2 linked regions of the Caenorhabditis elegans genome follow. The protein of the gene in region 1 interacts with the protein of each later gene in a biochemical or structural test. Each region holds a gene or a part of one and is shown on either strand. Other genes may lie near its edges.

The links.
Region 2: the proteins of nmur-1 (region 1) and capa-1 interact in a test that uses a peptide from one of them, tested with the Caenorhabditis elegans proteins (one large-scale study listed by BioGRID).

What each region holds. Positions count from the first base shown.
Region 1 is NC_003284.9:8,979,307-8,985,567, reverse strand, and holds nmur-1 (G-protein coupled receptors family 1 profile domain-containing protein), read right to left. Parts: upstream 4,593-6,261; coding exon 4,434-4,592; intron 4,029-4,433; coding exon 3,928-4,028; intron 3,883-3,927; coding exon 3,736-3,882; intron 3,680-3,735; coding exon 3,580-3,679; intron 2,989-3,579; coding exon 2,869-2,988; intron 2,825-2,868; coding exon 2,759-2,824; intron 2,702-2,758; coding exon 2,618-2,701; intron 2,473-2,617; coding exon 2,394-2,472; intron 1,707-2,393; coding exon 1,584-1,706; intron 1,375-1,583; coding exon 1,221-1,374; intron 784-1,220; coding exon 714-783; 3' UTR 505-713; downstream 1-504.
Region 2 is NC_003284.9:5,917,740-5,920,996, forward strand, and holds capa-1 (LYMARV-amide), read left to right. Parts: upstream 1-2,020; 5' UTR 2,021-2,026; coding exon 2,027-2,096; intron 2,097-2,224; coding exon 2,225-2,318; intron 2,319-2,381; coding exon 2,382-2,478; 3' UTR 2,479-2,755; downstream 2,756-3,257. UniProt on the Caenorhabditis elegans protein: Encodes at least three neuropeptides: two of the periviscerokinin family (APHPSSALLVPYPRV-amide and LYMARV-amide) and one pyrokinin (AFFYTPRI-amide).

The DNA of each region.
Region 1 (6,261 bases):
TTAACTTTAGAATGTCAGTAAAAACAATAGTTGAAGGTATTTTTGCATCATATTACCGTGAACACAACATTCTCAGATGATTTTAAAGATGATAATCAGCAAGAACACAAGGAACTTCTCAAATTTCAACCTCCGCGGAAAACTATCAAAGATATGAACAACATAAAACTTCACAGACGCCTTGTCTAAAGTTCAGGAATGTCACATTTTGTTTGTAATTTAAATTGTGGGATTGAAAATTAATGTTTATGTTCTTAACGAAGGTGGGAGACTTTCTTTTAAAATTCTATGTAAAAGGTCAATTTTACACCATATATAATTTATGAAAAGTCGTTTTTGTTATTTACATTTTAATTTTCTATTTCCGTATGTCAAAGCAAAAAATAAAAAATAACTTCATTTACATTTCTCTCTACTTCCAAATTCTGTCTCAGTGACTTTTTGGTACATTGCTACCAAGAGAGACTGAAGTTCACTGGACCGTGTGCTTCCAGGAAGGAAAATAGAAAACCTACACTTTTTATTTGGCAGATTGAAATAAAGTATAGAATGAAGTATGCCCCCGTAATGCAAACTACATGATATCGAATTAGCAGGAAAAATATGAGACAAGGTTTACAAATATTGAAGAGGGAGAAAAAAAATTAAAAATAATGTGGAGACAAAATAAAATATATGTACAAATAATATTATTTTGGGACAATGTTTTGAAGTTATGCGTTTGTTTTGGAGTCGAGAATTGGAACCCGGTTGGACATGGCTTGCCTGAGAGGAGTATGAGCTCTGGAAATTGACTTTTAATGCATCTTAAACTGTTTTAAGTTGTTAGAAGCAGTCCTATATTTCCTAAGAAAAATAAAGTGTGTGATGTCACTAGCCGAGCAGCAAAAGTTATTGAAATTAACTATGCAAACTAGTTTTGTTTTCCAAAAGCTTTAATCAGGACTTTGGACACTGGAAATTTTCTTCACGAAATTATCATCTCAATGTGATTTTGTCAACCAAAGTATAATTTGTGATAAATTTTGAAATAAACCATATTTTTTTAAAAATTTTCTTAAACACTTTTTTGTACTACTCGTCACTTGCGCCGCTTTTGGCACTCAAAGTGCATTTTACAGTATTTTTTCAATGGAAAATGTAGTTAATACAATTTTCTCATCGTTTTCTTCTTGATCACGAACAAAATATTTGTAACTGCTCTGAATATTCCCACTCACAAGCTATATTTGCTGAATGAGCTTCTTGGATAACGCTCAGATCCTCCTCTCCAACAGTAATCAATAAGAATGTCTTTGAATGCTCTTCGAAAACGGCTGGATGCAAGGTTATAGGCAATAGGATTGATGATAGTGGCAAGATAGAAAAGGAATCCTAAAAATTAATTTTATTTTTAAATTTGTTGTGCACATTAATTAGACTTGTTCTCCAGTGAAACTTGATCCGAACTTTTGTTTTTTAATGGATTATGGTTGTTCAAATTTGTCTATGATTTCTTTTTGTTCTCAAAAAAAAAATTCAAAATCTATCTTAATATTTACTGGTTTAAAGACGATTTACTTTTGAACTTTTTGATAACAAACCTGAGATAAAATACATATACTGATTGACCCATGTCAAAATAACTTCATTATCAAAATAGAAAAACAAGAGACGTTGCAATTGAAACGGAAGGTAGCAGATGAAGAAAGCCGAAACGATTGCACCTGCAAATTAAATTCAATGTTACGATTTTTGGTCGATTAGTTGATTTAGCATTTCCGGAAACAAAATTACATTAAGAGGATGTGTGTCTGAAGATGAGCTTGGTATTTGAATGTGCACTGCTTAGAACTTGTATCTGTTTACTAGAAATTGTTCCAACTTTTCATAACATTATTGTTCAAGGTGTGTATATTGTTAATCCAAACTGTACAAACTATTAAAAGTAATTAAAATATTCAAACCATAAATTGCAAACTGGTTCACTAGACCACTAGACTCGCCACTAGACAATGACAAAATGTGCTCATATTTTTCTCACTTTTTGGGAACATACAATATTTTATCTGTAGTGACAAAATATAACAGTTAAAGTGAAAAACAGTATTCATCCAGAAAACCCAAAATTTGCATAAATTGTCACTTTACCTTGTTTCTACTCTTTGTTACTAAAAACTCTGTTACTAAACAATAAACTACCGCAGTTCTCGAAATTCCGAAAAATACAAAAATATCCACTGAAAATTGTATGGAACAATACGATAGTTTGTACTTCATCTAAGTACATCCATTTCTAGTCTCTGCTCACGCATTCGTTTTCCGCTCCAATCCCTCCCATATTCGGTTCCTCACTTTCCAATTTTCTACCCCTCCTACATCTGTTTTTTATCAACAACTCATCCCGAACTCACATAAAATTGCATTGATTCTCATTTGCAGTTCCTCAGTGATATCAAGTTCGCCTGGTTGAATTGTTCTGTTGCTGGATACCTAAATGAAAGAACAGGTGAGTTTTTGTTTAATTTTTGTTTTACGTGTATCCGTTATTCATTACGATATTAAAACGTTCATTTTAAAACAATCAATGTTTTAATGTGAATTTAAAATTTGCTTTTCACCGTTCAACTTTTCTTACCTTACATGCAATTCTTGCATAGAGAATTACAATTGTAAACAGTGGGAGTGCAAAGAATGCTATGGCAGAGAAGTGAAATAGAATCTGAAAAAAATATACAAACTTGCACCCTGTATAAGATAATTTTTATTTATTAACTACCTTAAAAGTTGACGCTAGCTTTGGTTCAAACATCACTGCTATCATGCACATTTTTGAAGATTTAACCTTAAAAGACTTTGCTGAGTTATTGTCAATAAACTCTATTTTACCGGTATTCTGTTGTCTGTCCCTGGCCAGCTTTTCATAATGTAATCGGCTCGGTGATGGATCGCAAAGGGCATAGCACAAAGGATAGAGAAAATCCAAGTAAAGCCAATTATAGTTCCAATCTTCAAAAATGTTATTGCTGTTGTACGTTGATAGTTTAATAAATAATTTATGTTTATGAAATTGAATGTTTTATGTGGTTCAATCACAAATCTCATTTTCTAAATATTTTCATAATGTGTTGCTTTCCTGCGTACTGCTTTCCTGATAGTGAGTATCAAATAATAAGCTTTGAAAAAATCGCGCAGCCGACATTGATCGAGGTTCGCAACGAGTCATGTTTTAAATCTTACGTTGTCTGCGTTTTTCAAGTGGTGTTTTCTTAAAACCTGTATCTATGACACTTATAACTCTGTGGGATTTGATAGAAGTACTGTACTCTACATGCAACGTTGTCGGCGCATATTCCAACTTAATATAGATTTAAATGTTATTCTAACTATTGTATTTACATTAATACTATAATTCTCAACTATGATAACTTATATCTCAATTGTTTTTTTTCTCCCTTTTCAAAGGACACTAACAATAAATTTTTTAACGTTCTCTTGTCGTAATTCTGCAGCAGTTAGACTTTTTTTCAACCGAGATATCAACTGCCGACTTAGAGAGTAAAGTAGCCAGTATGCGGGTTAAGCATTAATTGAACTCACATTTCTCTTGAATGGTTGAACCTTCATTAGAAAAAGTGGATGACACACCGCTACATAACGTTCAATTGCAAAAATCAGAATTGTCAGAATAGAAACGGAACTGAAATAAAAATGTAACTTTGTTGCTGAACTATTCAGTAATCATTAACGCCTCACCTCGTTGTTTCCGCAATGAGCGCTTTCAAGTTGCATATGTAATCCGGAAATGGCCATGGGTACTGATTCCAGTTCATCATTACTTCAAACGGTAAACCCACGCATAACGTGACCAAGTCCGAAACCGCCAGATTCATGAGATACATGCTAAAGTAATAAGGCTTATGTTGGTAGTTGGAAGAATTACCTTACCTTGCATGGGTTTTCATCATGGGATGTTTTTTCATGACTAAGCAGGTTGTAGTGTTTCCAATTACACCAACTAAGAAAATGAAAATGTAAAGAGCAGTCACCTGAAAAAAATTTATAGTTTGAATTTGAACTAACATGCGAATTTAAGGTTTTCAGCAAGATTTATAGTTTCGCCGATAACACGAAAGATATCAAGAAAGATCATAGTTACGTTGAAAAATTATGTTCTCTATTCAGACATTTTCCTCATTTTTGGAGAAAATAAATATGATTTAAAACTTTGAAATTATCTTTTTTGGGGTGCCAGTTAACTTAACATTTTTGTTATGGTGGAATTTTGCCATTTTAGAAACAAATGTTTTTTTCTAATAGAGGAAAATAGTAATTGTATGGTGTCAATTTATTGTGAAGTGTAAATTAGGGCTTTATTGCTTCCTGCAATTATTTTCAATGACTTTAAAATTTATCTATAGCTTCCCAACTTTTAATTTCTTTTTTTCACCAACCTTATACAACGTGACGTCATCCAGTGCTCGTTTTGAAATAAAGCAGTGCTCCATGTAACACGCTTCTTTTTCGCTTTCCGAATGACTATAAACAATTGGACAATTGAATGCAAGGCAATCACATTGGTCTTCGGTGGTGTTTAGGCAAGCTTGCAACATGTTCTCACTCGGCTGAAATCCGCAAAATGAGACGTACCGTTGAAAGATGCGTACGTATAATTTGAGAAGAATCAGGCAAATAATGAATAAGTCATCCTGACGTGTGACTTGTGTGAATCTTTACTTTTTTGCTCTTTCATTTTCTAATTAGACATAGGCAAAGAAAATGCAAAAAACGAATATGAGAACAAAAAACTAGTTGAAAGAAAGAATTAATGAGTATTAAATTTCATTGTTCTTGCAATTATACATAGGTGTCCACTATTCGAAAATTCTTGAAGTTCAAAATGTTTCTACCAAGTAAAATGGAGTTGAGTCTACAAAAAACTTTCTCAGTAAAAAAAGATTTCCTAGTGTTCGACCAACCAGAAATGTGCGATGAATCCTCATCCGGTGTGGGTTCAACGGGTAAAGGTTGCAAAGGGTAGTCATTTTTTTCAATTTCAAATTTCACACGTAAAAAAGAATTTGGAGAAAGCCCCGTCATTTTCGGGGTAAGATCTCTTTTGCAGATAGCCAACATGTTTGTGATGTGAAAAATTAGATAATTTCAATGAGCACTGACGTAAAAGGCCGTGAGTAATAACATAACACTTTTGTAAAACTTGAAGTTAAAGATATGTCCTATGTTTCTTTAAATATGAAATTTGAAGCTACAAACAGTTTTTGACAATCTCAAATACGACAAAGGTAACTTTTATTTGTTCTTTAAAGTATTTTCGCGTTAGTTTCCGCAAAACGTTTTTATATATTTAAATTTGAATTCACACAAGTCTTATACTATTTTAGTTTTTTTCTGGCTTTGAACTCAAAAAATGTTTTAAATCTTTTTTTTTGAGGTGGAGAAGGAACGAAACTCATAAAAACATGAAAAACTTACATTATCACAATAATTATTATAAGAATTTAAAGGTATGATAGAGATGAGATGAGCTCTCTGTGGAGTAAATTATTCAATTCCTAGAAACAAACCTAGATAAAAATGCTTTATCAGTATATTGTATTGGGATGACTCGTGAAAAATTCTGCTCAATGCCACAGCTTCAATGATTTTTAGTTCATGACTCGGGTGGGAAAAAGCATATGAAAAAGTGTTTCAATAGGCTTTCAGTCTGGGTTAGGCAATCAAAATCACGGGTTTCCCGATGAGTGAGAGAATAGCCAAAAAGAGCAAAATGAAGAAGAGATAGAATAGAGATGTGTTCAATTATAGGGCAACGACACGATTTTAATGTTAGTCTCGACTTCTTTGTTTTGAGAAAAGATGGGAGGAATTTCTGTGGTGAACATAAATATGGCTAACTTTGAAAAAAAAACGAAGATCAAAAACAAAAAGAAATCCATCTCGGGTTTGTTCTTCTTTTCGTTCGTTGAACTTTTTGCATTTTCGACGCGTTGTTTCAGATGTCAGATGCATCCCAAACCGAATTAGATTATGTTTTTGTTTTCGAAAATCGAAGAAGAAACATATATTTTTTGTTTTATGTTCTGTGAGCTTACTAAACATTGGGAAAATATATGTAATATCTAGGAAGATAGAATTATGCTTAGAAAAGTTTAAAAGTAAAAGCATGTGAAATGTCTACTGTTTAAAATGCTAAGTTTAAAATTATGTAAACTTTTCACTAGCAATAAAATCTTGCTTTCATCAGACTTTTCACGGAACAGG
Region 2 (3,257 bases), 3.1 Mb from region 1:
TCTAAAAACCCTAGGTTCATAGATATATTCATTTTGAAATAAAATCCAAATTCTCATTTAAAACTGCAAAAATTACAAGAATATTAAAATTTTTTAAGATTAAAAAATTAGATAATATTCTGAGATAATGAAACTTATTATTTACTTGAAATGTGATTATTGAAATGTGAACACTCTACAGAAATTATGACCACAGGACAAGTAATTTTACGGTCAAATTTGCCTTTCCACAAAAAAATTCATATTCAGATTCTGCAGGTATTCGTTAAAATTTAGGAAAAGCAACAAAATAGATCGGAGCCAGGCAGCATATGCTATTACCTGCAAACACTTCAGCAATAACTCGGATTCCTCTCGTAAATAAATTTCGAAAATATAAACTTTTCTTAAAATATTTGGCACATATTGTTGGCACAACCTTTTTAAAATCATTGGTGGACCTACAAAGTGATGTCCAAATATGAAAATAAAGACGAGAAACGAAACGAACTAATAATACCCGCGGCTTAATTTGAGGACAACAAACGACAGCTTCTCCATGTTTTTTGCAAAGTTGATCCTTGGAGGGCAATTTTGACAACACGTGCTGTAAAAATTTGCGGATACCAAGCCTACAGTTGATTTGTGATGTACCAATTATGAGCACGATAAATCGCGAGCCAAAACGACCACTGTTCACATTTCTGTATTTTGAGAGTTGCGATAGGCGCATTGTGCGCAATGTTGGTGGGCATGGCGGTACTTTCACAATGCTGTTGCTGCGAGGCTCTGACTCTCACGAATATTTAGTTTTGCTTTGTTTTTACGTTCGTTATATCCTTGGAATGTCATTCTCGTACCTGAAACCACCTGGAAACTGTTTTCGTTTACGCATTCTTAACCCGGAAATGTGTTTCTCGCCAAAACACAAGTTCAGCTGCAAAAATAAACTTTTTCGAGTGAATCAGGAATTTCAGAAGTTTATCAGAGACTTGTTTTTACAAAATCTACACATGTGACTGGAATTTTCAAACGTTTGAGGTAAATATTTTCAGTTTATGATGAATACGTAACTGAGATAAATTAAATAAATAATCTTTAAGTTCACAGTCTGAATAGTCTGCAAAACCGGACACTCAAACTCTAACAATTGTTTAATTTGCCTGTCAAGGCAATTCTAATCACTCAAAAAGTGCAAGAAGCGCACTTGTTCCCTAAAGAATGCTTCTAATCCCTTTGTACGAATTTGTACTGTCAACGAACTGTGTGGTGGAATGAGGAAGACGCAGCAAATAATCCATTGACAAACTGGGCGGGTCCGTCAAATCCGTGTGGCAAACAACTGACAGTCTAACTAACTGTTGCTGCTCATTTTCAATCAGTGCGAGCTGGCCTCCTTCCGTCGTCTACATTTCTTATTGATTATTCGGCATTCTGTTAGGAAGCATCAATGTGTTGTGACCGTTGTTACGGTCAATTTGCAAATTGAAAAAATGACCGTAATCCCGTTCACAATACATTGTTCGTTTTCTCCAAAGGTGATTCATTAAGTAAAAAGGGAATGTGGGTGTGCAAATGTGAATGTTCTGCTGGTTTACAACCGTGGTTTACAACCAGACAGCTAAAAACGCATGCCTGGATATTAGAGAGTGACGACTATATCCATATTTATTTTGACTATTCCGTCGGCTCGAATTCCTGGTAAGATTTTCTTGTTCACATTTGAATAGGACAAATAGTGATTTCACTCGTTTTTCTTCCTTTTCTGTCTTTTATTAATTTCCTTTTTTTTTGAAAATAGCCGGAATCGTTTTTTTTTGTCGGCCAAGAGGTGAGTAGGTGTAGTACAGCAGGGGTGATAAGCCAAAGCGTCACAAGACCGGTGGCTCCCAGAACGGAAATTAAAAAAGGTGGGACTTTGGGCGGCTTAAAGTGTCACTGGTCTGGACGAGTAGATATTCGACACCCCTCTTGCACATATTATTTGTTAGTCTGACTGAGTTTTCTCAGTCATTCAACATAAACTGTTCACATTTCTACAGGAACAATGCTTCTCTGGATCGTCGCCACTTTGCTCATTTTTAGCCTTCCAGTGTCAACGGCTTTAGATTATAATGGTAATTGATTTTTCATCAGTATCACTAAAACATTTTGAGAATCTAACCATGATTTAATAGTAGGTATATAGTATATCAAGTATGTACATGTAATACAATAATCCCTTATAAAAATCTACATCTTTCAGATTTCTCCTTGCAACGAATTGCTCGGGCTCCACATCCATCATCTGCTCTCTTAGTGCCATACCCAAGAGTCGGAAAACGAAGTAACATTTTGAAGTAGGTTCAAGCAAAATGAAAAATACATTTTATGTAAAAAAGTTTTAAAATTTTGTTTTTCAGTAACAATTCCGAATCACAAAACTCTGTCCAAAAGAGACTCTACATGGCGCGTGTTGGAAAACGAGCATTTTTCTACACTCCACGTATTGGGAAATAATGACGAGGATACTCCAGACGGACCGGCTATAACTGACACTTTTCATTTTGATCAATCCTTATTTCCCTCTTTCCCCTTGTTCTTCTGTCACGTTCCTTTCTTTTTTCATGAATGTATGTACACTATATTATCACAACAACACAAATCGACAAAATTTTTTTGACCTTTTCTATTAAATTTTTTTAATTTGAAAGTCTTATTGTGTTTTCTTTTCACTTCCATTTCCTAATATCTTGAACATTTTTCAAATGTGGCAGAATAAAGTGTGCGACGCGTTACCAAAATACACTTTGATTTTTGATCTCACTCGATTTCGAGGAGATCTGTTCCGTTTTTGACGTTTTTTTTTCTGACAACGACAATTAAAAATTGAGAACAAGAAAAACAACATCTCGTGTTTGTTGAATTGATACATTGGGTTTATAACGAAGCACAGATGTATTTTCTGGCGGTATTGCTTTTAGTATGGGAAGATGTTAACGTTCGTGTTTTTTGTCGGTGGATTTTAATCGCTATTTCTCAATTCCAGCTGAAAAATTTTCAACTTTTTTTGTATGTAATGTCAATAACACGTTTTTCTTGTTAGAAAAATAATTATTTTGCAGCTGCCAACTTTGATCACCTATAGTAATTTCCCTATCATTCATAATTACGCTTCCGTTGGTCAAACTTTGCTCGAAAATTATAGATTTAAAGTTTTCAGTAATCAAGTGTTCATAAAATCATGTACGTTCATGCTATTTTGAGACTATTCGAATTTTTTGGAAGTTTTTTTTTTT